4 linked regions of the Oryzias latipes genome follow. The protein of the gene in region 2 purifies or fractionates together with the protein of the main gene of each other region. This does not show direct contact. Links are inferred from orthologs where the notes say so. Each region holds a gene or a part of one and is shown on either strand. Other genes may lie near its edges.

Region 1 (3,500 bases), on a different chromosome or scaffold from region 2:
GCGTCGGTGTGGGAGCGCTGAACGCCGCCGCGCGCTGTCCCACAGCTGAGGCTGGCCTCAGAGGTGCATCATGGGAAATAATAGAATGGAGGCATTGATTACATTCACTAAGATCTGGGCGGGCAGAAGTGTGATAGAGAGGCTGAGATGAAGGAGGGTGGGGCTTAAAGAGTAAAAGAAGGGGTCTAGCAAACAGAGGGGGGGTCCAACAGCTGTAGACGTGACTCATCACTGGAGGGGGGGTCACTAACCGCCCGTTTATCACCATCAAATGTGTGTGTGAGATCATTTTTGTACAGGTGTGTTTCATACAAATGAAAAGTCGTCACGTTTTCTTTTGTTCTGTTCACATAAATGCTGAAAAACTTCCAGCTGATCTGGAATCTCAGAGTAAATGTTGGTTTTAGAATCAAACCTTTTTTCTCACTGTAATAAAATCAAATGGAGACTTTTGTAAAAACAAACGTTGGTCTCAAACTGGAACTCCGGCGTTTGTCAAACAGAAGCAGCATTTCATGGACGTGTTTGGTTCTGAACCGCTGTCTGCTCACTCACCCACTGGGGGCTCGTCCGGGGCTCTGTGGCCGTAGTGCTGTCTGAGCAGCGCCCCCAGCATGTCGGGGTTCACCTCCGCCTCCCTCCGCAGGGACACGTTGGGCGCCACCATCTTATCGTAGGTGTACAGGTAGTAACTGCAGAGAAAAGGAGACGCATGACAGCATAAAGATGAAGCAGCTGCTCTGTTTGCTTTGGTGGGGGGGTCCACCACTCAACCTCCAGCCAGTCTTTTAGCTCCTCCAGAGGAGACTACAGGCCCTCACTTCCTGTTTGTGTGGGCTGCACGCCAAGAAGAGGGGCGCTGAGACTCCCTGCCCCCCAAGGGAGGCTGCAGCACTGAACCAGGTGAAGCCTGACAGCTCAGTGGCTCTGCTGCCCCTCCCTGTGCCCCCCACCCCAAAAAAGAACAGTTCTCAGATGTCAGCAGAGACCTGGCCCCCCTCCCCCCTCTCTGTGCACAGAGGCTGCCAGGTGACCAGACCCCCCCACACACACTCTGACGTCAGTCATCAACCACAGCAGCATAAACCCCGAATTCTTGGCTGTAATCCCAGTCAGATTAATGGGGGGGGGGGGGGGGGGCTCCTCCAAAAAACAAACTTCGAATAAACAGTTTTCTATGGCAAAGACTCCATTACCCAGAAGCCTCAGCAGCACAGGTCTGATCATGTTGTCCCCATGAAAAATGGAGTCTGATTCTGAACGTCAGGGCGTCTGCAGCCAGAGGCATGATGGGAACCTGAGTGTCTTTTGTGAGCGAGTCAGGTGCAGTACCTGGGATGGACCAGGGTGGGGGGTCCTGGCTCCTCCTTGATGTCTGGGAAAACATGGCTGTAGAGCAGAGCGGGGGGAGACGGTTTACCCTGTGGAGCACAAATCATACAAACTGGGAATGTGACACAACAGCAACAAAAAAGACTTTATAAGACACAAAAGACAGAGAAAAAGTCACACACACACACACACACACAAAGACGGTGAGAGGTACAGATGTAGACCGTAGGGGGCGGGGCTTTGACTGACCTTTCTGGCAGGTTCAGCATCGTCCAACTTATTAACAGAGCAGAGATCTGCAGAGTTCTTCCTCACGCGGCCCTCCTCTTCCTCCCCCGTCTTCTGATGTACGGAGAGAAACAGGACATAGGTCAAAGGTCAGACATTTGCTGCAGAGACAGGAAGTGAGAAAGATGGTTCCTGATATTCTACTGAAAATAAATATTCCGGAAACTGTTCACAGAAACGATTTTCAAAACAGGTCAGAGGTCAGACAAATGCCACAGAGACAGGAAGTGACCCCGGAACCGTGGCTGCAGGGAAACAAAACGGACTGAAAGGTTTGGACGGATCCAGACCCGATGATGGTTTGATGATCAGCGGTTTGGTGAACGCTGCAGATGAAGCGCCTCCGTGTTTTAGACTGGAGACGACCCTTTAGACAAAGGAGACGGACTACACGTCCAACTGGGGCGTCTGACACAGAAAAGGCGTGAAAAAGGGTGACCTCAGCGCAGAGGAGGCGGAGACCAGAAGAGCAGAAGGTCAAAAGGAGGCATGGCGAACGCCTCCTAACAGACAGAGGAGGTCCGTGACAGACATGAGGGTCTTCATCATCAGAAGGAAGGAGCATGAAAACTACGCAGGAAAAGTCCTGTGACCTTCTGAGCGAGCCTGCCAGATCAGAATGAGGGATTTTCACAATAAAACCATCAGAATGAGGGATTTTCACAATAAAACTGATCAATCGGCAGTGAGACAAAAATCTATAGAGAGATAATCTGCAGAGCCCCCCCCCCTCCACAGACATGTCGAGTGCGTCAGAACATGCGCCCCCCCCGGCTGCAGGTGGGCCGGAGCACAGGCGGGGGCTCGTCCGTCTGAAAATACTTGTGGTTGGAGGTTTTTCCTTTTTTCCATCCAGGAGGCAGCACTGCAGAGCCGCCAGGGAGGAGGGGGGAGGACAAAAGGAGAAAACAACACTGCGGTGGAAGTTCTGTGGAACCCCCCCCCAGCAGGGATTTTACACTTTGTGTGATTCCCGTTTGTCCTCGTGCATGTGCACGTGCGTGTGCATGTGACAGTAAACCAAGAATGTCAGAACACTACCACCCACACACGTTTATAGCAGAGCAAAGAGCGTGTTGATAATGAGCACATGCACTGCTGTGGCGTGGGGGGGGGGTCACTGTCAGGTGAGCAGGAAGGGCGGCGGGAAACAGGAAGTTTAGGTGTCACCATTCGTTCATGTCTCAGAGGTTGTGGTTTCTGTCTGAACCCTACAGTTCATGACCTAAGTGCAGGTTCTGACCCAGGACGGCCCACTACAAACACAACCCCCCCCCCAAAGGATGAGCACTTCTTTGTGCCCCCCTCCCCACACACACCTCCTGACAAAGGCAGATCCCACTCCGCGCTGAACTCTGCTGTTCTTAATCACCTGCAGTCTGTCGGCTTCACACGCATCACCCCCGAGCGCCGCAGACACACGCCGCCATGTGAACTTCAGTGACCCACTTCCACGGCGCACGTGACATTTCTGCAGCAGGCGCTCATGCAGAGGCAGGAGCTGCAGGAACATCCGTGACTCTGTCTGTGTGTGTCTGCGGTCATTTCTTCAGTTTGGGACCAGAGGACTCGTCCTCCTCTCAGAAAGCAGGAGGAGGCCCCGGCTGGACGCTACACCCCTGAGGCAGAGGAGCCTTTGACACAAACCGACACAGACGGAGGTCCAGCCCCTACGTGGTCACGTGGACTCCCCTCACGCACAGAGACGCTGTGCTATAAACAGAGATGGTATCTCCATACGTGCACGGTAACGGACAGACGTGCACGCACTTTCCTCACAGAAACCTGAGATCAAGCAGAGATCCGGTTCAGAGCAGATCCTTCATGAAGCTCAGAACTACAGAGACCAGGAACCACCTTAACATCAGAGTTCTGTCGCC
Region 2 (3,500 bases):
GGAAAAGAATCACATGAATCTACAAAGGGATAAGAAAAACAACCCAAAGTCCACTACTGCAAAACCAGTCCAGCTTCATCGTCTGTACAATGTTGTAGATGGGAGTTCTTCCAAAGGCAACCGTAGGATGAACCGCTGTTTGTGAGGAGCTCTCCTCCTCTTCCTGAAGAAACGGGAGTGAGGGAGGCGGGAAGACGGTCTTCACTCCTGGTTCAGTCACTATTTGATGTGGACCACCTTCTCGTCCGTTTTCAACCGCTTGCGTCGGGGCTGTATGAAGTCGTCCTCCGAGTCCTCCGTCTCCTCCTCCCGCTCCTTCTCATCCGGGGGCTCGGCTTCTGGAGTTTCGGGGAAGTTCTGGCCCGGGAACATCTCCTGCAGCTTCTCCTCAAAGTACAGACCCACCGCCTTCCCGGAAATGGCCATCTCCGACCCGGCCTGCCGGAGGAGGAAGAGGAGGGAGGAGAAAGTGGGAGCGGTGAAAGAGGAGGGAGAAGGTTTGAGAGCACCAGTGAGTGGGTTTGGAGAGGAAGGGTGAGGAGGAGGAGAACGAGGAGACAAATTAAACCTGGTTAAAAGTCTTGCGGGGAGGCGGCCCCACCTCAACCTTGCTGAGCAGAGCAGGAATATTCTGCCTTCCTGTCCCACTGCGGCTCCATGACGTTTTTCCACCATCAGACCTTCATCCATCTGCAGCATTTTCATTTTCTCTCCTTCTGTTCCAACATAAACCTTTAAAAAGGTTTTTAGCTTTAGCGCCCAAAAGATGCGGCTGAAGTTCCTTCATCTGAGGAAGAAGTCAACCTTCACTGATGTGGGCGGAGTCACAACTGAACTAAGATGACAAAGAGCAGAGCGCCTTCGTTTCTCTGGAATGATGGAAAATACAGGAACCAGATGTGTTCAAACAGAAAGAAAGGCTCAACTGAAGCGCAGAGGAACCAGGAGGCTACTGCACATGCTCAGTGTCACCACTGATCGGGACGACATCCAATAATAATCAGTGCATCAGATCAAATCAATCCTCAGGTAAAAGATGGAAAATAAACTATTCTGATATAAACCAAATTCTTTTATTATTTTTAGAATGCATCTTTTCTTTGTGTAAATTTCCCTTTGAATCATGACTTAGATGGATTTGGATCAGAACCAACCACCATATTTGCTGGTTTCATAACCTCACATGAATTAATCTGATTGGTTCGTGGCTTTGGCAGAACCAGCGATTCGGAGGGGTTGGAATCAAACTAACGGGATCAAAAACGGATCCCGCTTCATCAAACGGGTCAAACGGACCCTGAAAGGACGACTATTAATTCACGGCATCCCTTCCCGACCCCCCCCCTCATCACAGTTTGAAGTGGAAAAACCTTTCTAGGAGCCTCAGTGGGAGGAAACAGGTACCTGAGCTTACCTGTGGATTAATCTCTTTCTCCTCATCATAAACCTGGATTATTCGAGACATCTAAAGGGGGCAACGACATTACATCAAAGACCGTGAAGCAGCGAGGAAGAGAAGGTCACAGCAAAAGCAGGTTAGATCATCACAGGAGGGACGTCTGTCTCTGCAGGGGGGGGCTGCAGGACAGGCTGAGGACACCAAACCAGCAGCATTAACAGCAGGATCAAACCCACAATGGGGCGGTTCGTCTGTTCGGACGCTTTCTCCACAGCAATGCTTGAAACCATGTTCAGAGAACCATCAGCAAAGTTCTGAACATGAAACGGTGCTGCAGGACTTTTATTTTGAAAGTCTTTCTCCGGACGTTTTCAACGTCCATGAGGCTTTTTATTGAAATTAAATCAACTTGTTTTCATCTGTTGACCTTTTCCCTTTTATTTTACAGAAGTTCTGTTATTTTAGGTACTGGATCGAGCTCCAGAAGTTCTGGAAATCTTCCGTAACCATTTTCTAATCTACAGCAAAAGCTTTAAAACGGCCCCAGGGCCTGTCGCGGTTTGCCCTTCTTCGGAAAGGTATCTGGTGAAATAAAGGGGAATTGATCCTCCAACCTCTTCCACAGAAAGCCCCCACCCTACAGACAACAGCAAATGCCAGCTCAGGTCCTGAGACGGTTAGGCTGCTGGTTCTCCTCCCACCCGCGGTCCAGGCTCTACCGGGCTCCTGAGGCTGTTCCTCCGGTCCTCCTCCACAGAGAAAGGAGAAGCTCCGCCCCATCAGCTGAGCCGCAGCTTCAGTTTGTGTTTTCTAACCTCGCCACGGTCTGCTGGATGTTTCTCTTTACGGCTTAGCATGACGCGGCGACAGCATCCTGACTCGGCACAAAGCAGCTTCTCAGAGTGCTGCCGCTTGTTTTTCATCGTCACAGAGGTTTTAAATCGAGATGAACCGACCGTTTCACACGCGTTGGTGCGTTACAGACGCCACCGCCGGTTCCTGTAAACGTCAGTTTGTTTATAAAACATCAAGCTGAAGACCAACAGCTCAACCCAGACCCTTCCGGTTCAAACAGATTATTTTACCGGATTAAAGGGACGTGTTAGAGCAAACGCTGACGGTAGAGAGAAAAACAATTTAGGAAACAAACTCCAACAATTTGACACCAAAGGCCCTGCAGGAAGAAAACAACTACTGACAGGAAGGAATGAAACCCAGAGCAGCAGCTTTCCCACAAAACTTCAGCGGTTTAAGAATAAACACCTCTATTCTTTAGTTAGAATCTCTACCTCTGGATCCTCTGGAGATTTGGGTCAGATCTTTGGTTTTCTTTGGTTAAAAATCTCGTTTGTTGAGCCGCTGTTCCACAAACCAGTAGAGACGCCGAGTCCATCTGCTTGAAGGCCGAGTCTGCATTTCCTCATGATTTAGTGCACCATGTGGCCAGTGGACTGTTTTTGGTCTGTTTCCAGACGTGCTAAAGTTTAAACGGGTTCTGTTTGGTATCAGCGTGGTCTAGTTAAGATGAGGTCTTCAATTCTTTGATGCCTCAAACAGAAAATTCAAATAGGAAACAACATCACATTAAATCAGAAACGGACGAATCAAACATGTTCTGGTGCAGAGGCACGGCAGCCCCTCCCTCCAGTAGGGATGAGTAGGGATGGGTACCCAGACTCATAACCTGGTTGGTACTGAAATACACTGAACTACCAGTACAGACGTACCTGTAATGATGTGTACGGAACTACCTGTACAGACGTGTACAGAACTACCGGTACAGACGCGTACAGACCTACTGGCACAGACGTATACAAAACTACCGGTACAGACGTGTATAAACTACCAATCCAGAGGTGTGCGGAACTACCAATACAGACGTGTATTGAACTACCGGTACAGACGTGTACAGAACTACTGGTACAGACGTATAACGGAACTAACGGTACAGACGTATAACGGAACTACCGGTACAGACGTGTATTGAACTACCGGTACAGACGTGTACAGAACTACCGGTACAGACGTGTACAGAACTACTGGTACAGACGTATAACGGAACTAACGGTACAGACGTATAACAGAACTACCGGTACAGACG
Region 3 (2,211 bases), on a different chromosome or scaffold from region 2:
TAATTGAGTGTAAAATGTATCCAACAGCTATAAACAATAAACAAGACATTAAAAAAAAACAGGAAATAAAAAAATAATTCTGCCTTTCTGGCTATCAGATGCCAAAAATGACAATGACCTTCAAAAAAAAAAAGAAAAAAGAAAAAAGACCAATATGCTGAGATCCTCCTAAACTGATACTGCATTAATGCACGTGTCCCCTTTTTGCAACTAGAAAATAAAAAAAGTGCTACTGGCAGCGAGGAGGGACAAACAGTGGCTGGATGAGAGGCGTGTCATCATGTAGTTCTCGGGCTGCTCTTCCTATCTGTGTTTTCAGTTTCGTGAAAGGGGGGGGGGGGGGGGGGGGCAGGGAAGCTCCCCCTAGGAGACACTGGAGCAGTGGATGCTTGGGGAGCCCATCTGTGTCAGCACCTTGTCGAGCCACTGCAGAGGGCCGTTCAGGTGGAGCTCGATCCAGCAGGGGGTGCTGGTCACTGTCTGCCGCCTGGGACGCACACACAGACAACAGATGGTGAGGATGCAGAACCAGCCGCTCTGCCTGTAAGTAAACACATCAAGTCCTGGAAAAACAAACACCTGATCGATTTTAGCCCTGATATTTGGCATATGCAATCAAACTGGATCTATTCTGAGCTGCAGCTGAACTTCCTGCTGTTTAGTAAGACGAGGCTTCGACTTTTCTGTGAATTATGGCAATTATTATTGCACAGCGTCATAAAACTGCTTTAACAAGACGGCAAGGTTTTGTTCTGTCTGGCACTGAATCTGATCATGGAAACAAGATAAGATGTTTTTCACATTCATAGAACACTTAAAACTAGAGTCACTGTCTGAAGCTGTTTTTTATCCCTTTATTTATATAAGAGACACCCATTGAGACGGAACTCTTTTCACCTGGGAGATACCCGGGTCAACCTCTGTTCACGGAACAGCTCCTCTTAAGAGCCTTGCTCAAGGGCATTACAGCAGTGGAGCAAAGGCTTTTTTACTTTACTATGACTTTTTCAAGTCAGAATTGGGACTTGAACCAATGACCAACCAGCCAAGGGTTCATGTCAGTGACCAGTAGGCCAGCCCTCCACACACATCAGCTGGATTTGTAACCCGTGACTGTTGATTTTCTTTCTCCACGTCAAAGCGCGTCTGCAGCCTCTGTCAGGGTTACTTAAACAAGAGTTCAAGAACAGAACGTTTAGCAATTTCTGAGAACTTTCGTTCCAAAATGACCTATTGGCAGACCCACTCTGATGTAAATTGTGTTGTGTTTGTAATCATGGCGAATTAGGAGCAGAAATACAGTTGGCGAAAGCCTGTAGAGGTGACATACAAGCTATAATTAGTGGGCAACAAGCTCCCTGCTCTGCTCCATTCTGATGTATCCACTTGCAGACAAATAGATCCATGAACGTCTTTGTTTTCCTCGTCTGAACTGTTATCTGCTCCAACATTGCTCCCCGTTTTTGTTGCATCTGCAATGTTCGGTTGGGGCTGTAAGCTAGTGGGAGAAAGTGTAATCAGATGGATGACGGGAAATAGGGGCGGGCTTACTTTGCACCAATGGGGTTGCCCTCAATTCAGAGGTAAATTTCTAATGAACTAATGTTTTATTTGTTTTTTTTGACTGAAAATCCTCATTAAAAGAGCAGTGGGGATACTTTTACAATAGATCAAAGAGGATTGGAGTGGGACTTTAAATGAGGCCGTACTTTGACCAATAAGGCAGAAAGACAAAAAATACGATTTGAAGCTTGATCTTGAAGCGTCTTTTGTCAAATGTGCTACATTCAAAGTGGACTGATCTTCATGTCTTTTACATTTTTTGCTGTATAGCTGTTTATATTTGATATGCTTCTTTTTCTAAACTTTCTCCTTCTTGAATCTTTACGATTCTTTTGTTCTCTCTGACCTCAGAATGGACAGGACAGACTGGAGCTGATAACGAGAACAGTGGGATTGAACTTTGATGATTCAGGGTTTGGATCCAGATGTTTCACATTTTTAAGGCAGAAATAAAAAAAATTTGAACAAAGGGATTAAACTGCTGGCTCTGTGTTAAAAGTCTCATCAAGCTAAAGGATGCAGAAGTTTTGGAATCAACTGGACAGCAGCTCACCGGATACAACACAAATGCTTCCCAATGTCGGCTCCTTTAAAGTATTCATTCATGTGAAGCAGTTTTTAAACTGAATGACAAAAACGTGGAGGGAC
Region 4 (2,540 bases), on a different chromosome or scaffold from region 2:
AGAAGAGGAAGTCTGCTGGAGGTGACAAAGACAAGGAGCGAGGAGGCAACGACAGCTTCAAGAGCAAAGAGTTCATTGAGACCAGCGAGGAGAGCTCCTCAGACTCCGACCACAAGAGCAAGTCCAAGAGGAAGAAGGTACACTGATGGTTGCTGTCACAGAAGTTAACCTTTTAAAGGCCAGCAGCACCAGTTACACTTCAATTTGATCAAAGAAAGACCCATAAGTAACACGTGAAGCATCATTTACTCACACAGATCAGCTTTCATTAAAAAATCAATCTAATGCTTTGAGAAAGTTGACGCCACGGAGTGTCCTGCCATTAATACAAGGTCTGAATGAATGAACGTCTCGCCAAAGGAACGACCGTATTTTCTTTAATTATACATTTACTTTGCATCTACAGTTCTGAGTGAGTGATAATTGGATTATTAAATTACCAGAAAACAATTATTTTCTTCTACAGTGGGATTCAGATTTCAAATAAAAAAACTGACTGTTTGGAAACTTGTTGTTGGGGGAATAAGAAGAACTATTTGTCTTTCCTCTGAATATATTGTTAGTTTTGTTTCTCAACTCAATTGAGACAATATCCAATCAGCACTTTATTTATCTATTTACACCTTCATAAACAAAGTAAAGACAGAGTTTTTGACACAAATGCTTCTTTGTTGGAAAAAGTCCATCTGTACTGTAGCAATGAGAGTTCCTGTGGCATCCTGTGGCTTTGAGCATTAGGCGTGGCGGGACGCTGGAGCTGCAGCGCGGCATCAACCAATCAGGAGCTCAGATGTGCAGTGATGTGTTGAGGACGGGAACAGTGGGTGAAGTCTAAAACCATCATGGAGGAGAAGCTGATTCGTCCTCCTCTCAAACTTTGATATTTTTCATATAAGAATCAAAAGAATATAGATATATTTTTAAAAGGCCCTTTTTTGTATCTTAAACTTTCTCGGACTAATGCAGGACAGCTTTAGTCATTTTGTCGTTCAGACGCAGTTCCTGCAGTAGATGGTGAACCTAACCGTACTGGAAGTGTCTTCCAATGATGTCAAAATCCCAGAAATGGAGACGTGCTTACCGACATCTTTTGCAGAGCGTTTCAAACCTCTTAACATCATCCATGTCTTCCATGCATTGCTCATGAGAGCTACTGAAATACAGTCTATGCTTCCTACAGGCCTGAGGCTAAAAGCTTTTGACAGTAGCTCCTCCCACATCAACGCAGTGAGAGCGTCAGGTCCAGCAGCACGTTGACCGCGCGTCCAAACAGGCGGAGGTTACAAAAGTCTTTGCGTGAATGGCATTTAGTGTGAACGCAGCATCAGGAAGATCATGTCTCAAGCCTCCAGTTAGTAAAGTGATGAACTCCTTAAGTCATCTTCAGTTTGTGTGTTTTCTGTCAGTTCAGTGCACACACCAAAACCTGACTGTATGTTGTGTATACATATAAATATATATATATATACCTGTGTTAAGAGTTAAAAACAATGATAACTTTGTTTTTTGAACAGGAGTCAGATGATGAGGAAGAAGAGGCTGTGTCCACCCCTGCCAACTCGGAGGAAGAGTCTGACTAAACAAGTTACGTCAAAGACCCCAAACCAACAAGGACCAACAATTTATACTTTTGATTTCAGACTAGTCGGCAAACTTGAGTTATACATATTTTTCTTTTGTTTAGATTTAAGACAACTCTAAATTGTATGTCTGGATAAGAAGAGTCATCTCCGGGTTGACATCTGAGCAGGCGGCCGGCCCCCTCCCAGCTCAATGAAGCAATGGGGTCTTTTGCTTCGCTTGAATTATTAAGGTGTTTTTTCCATCGAGCCCATGGGAGCTGCTCTGACGGAAGCAGCAGGAAAGACTGTGAGCCCCCGATTATGTCATGTGAATGATGCAGAGTAGTGGATTTTTTGTTTCCCTCCTTCTCTCTGTATAGTGCTTTTAAAAACAACATTTTGTGTGTTTTGCTACGCCGTGTTTTCAGGTTGACATAAATAATTTTCAATAAACCTTAACTTTTTTTCCCCTTTGGTACATGTTCTCTTACGTTCTCTGGTTCCGTTTTCCTGAGACCCAAACTAGTTTCAGGAATTACTGCCTTCCAGAAATGTGTTATTTGCTTGGTTCTATACCAAAAAACTTCACCATTTGAGTGGGACAGTCCTCCACCCAGATGCATATTGGTTAGAGAGCATTAAAACAAAAACCATTTCAACAAATAAAAATGCAAAAAATATCTTCTGGGAGATTAAATCCAGAATTATAGAGAAATTAACATTTGTTTCTGCCTATTTAAGATTCAATGCAAATCCTGAAAAAGTGTTCCTCCAATGAAGGATCTCAAGAAATCTGTAGAACAGGGTCTGCAGCCTGAGGCTCTGGAGCCACATGTGGCCCTTCATCCATTGTAGCTCTTTGCTGGCTAGCAAGAAACATTATTCCACTTTTCAAAAAGATGTTAGATTAAATGTCAACAGAACTCTAATGGTAAGAGTGGTATATTATCAAAATAAGCTGATATGTACATGTAGATT

Evidence for each region.
Region 1: the proteins of trim33 (region 2) and skil purify together in Homo sapiens (affinity purification with western blotting; 4 studies listed by BioGRID and IntAct, with this or other methods). This does not show direct contact. The link is inferred for Oryzias latipes from reciprocal best matches to the Homo sapiens genes TRIM33 and SKIL.
Region 3: the proteins of trim33 (region 2) and mothers against decapentaplegic homolog 3 purify together in Homo sapiens (affinity purification with western blotting; 7 studies listed by BioGRID and IntAct, with this or other methods). This does not show direct contact. The link is inferred for Oryzias latipes from reciprocal best matches to the Homo sapiens genes TRIM33 and SMAD3.
Region 4: the proteins of trim33 (region 2) and ssrp1 purify together in Homo sapiens (affinity purification with mass spectrometry; 3 studies listed by BioGRID and IntAct, with this or other methods). This does not show direct contact. The link is inferred for Oryzias latipes from reciprocal best matches to the Homo sapiens genes TRIM33 and SSRP1.

What each region holds. Positions count from the first base shown.
Region 1 is NC_019875.2:30,153,032-30,156,531, forward strand, and holds part of skil (ski-like protein), read right to left. Parts: intron 1,675-3,500; coding exon 1,582-1,674; intron 1,422-1,581; coding exon 1,333-1,421; intron 693-1,332; coding exon 556-692; intron 1-555. UniProt on the Homo sapiens protein: May have regulatory role in cell division or differentiation in response to extracellular signals.
Region 2 is NC_019865.2:973,538-977,037, reverse strand, and holds part of trim33 (E3 ubiquitin-protein ligase TRIM33), read right to left. Parts: intron 1,466-3,500; coding exon 1,415-1,465; intron 439-1,414; coding exon 220-438; 3' UTR 1-219. UniProt on the Homo sapiens protein: Acts as an E3 ubiquitin-protein ligase. Promotes SMAD4 ubiquitination, nuclear exclusion and degradation via the ubiquitin proteasome pathway. According to PubMed:16751102, does not promote a decrease in the level of endogenous SMAD4.
Region 3 is NC_019861.2:12,626,459-12,628,669, forward strand, and holds part of mothers against decapentaplegic homolog 3, read right to left. Parts: intron 488-2,211; coding exon 364-487; 3' UTR 1-363. UniProt on the Homo sapiens protein: Receptor-regulated SMAD (R-SMAD) that is an intracellular signal transducer and transcriptional modulator activated by TGF-beta (transforming growth factor) and activin type 1 receptor kinases.
Region 4 is NC_019868.2:13,992,159-13,994,698, reverse strand, and holds the end of ssrp1 (FACT complex subunit SSRP1), read left to right. Parts: coding exon 1-137; intron 138-1,514; coding exon 1,515-1,580; 3' UTR 1,581-2,040; downstream 2,041-2,540. UniProt on the Homo sapiens protein: Component of the FACT complex, a general chromatin factor that acts to reorganize nucleosomes. The FACT complex is involved in multiple processes that require DNA as a template such as mRNA elongation, DNA replication and DNA repair.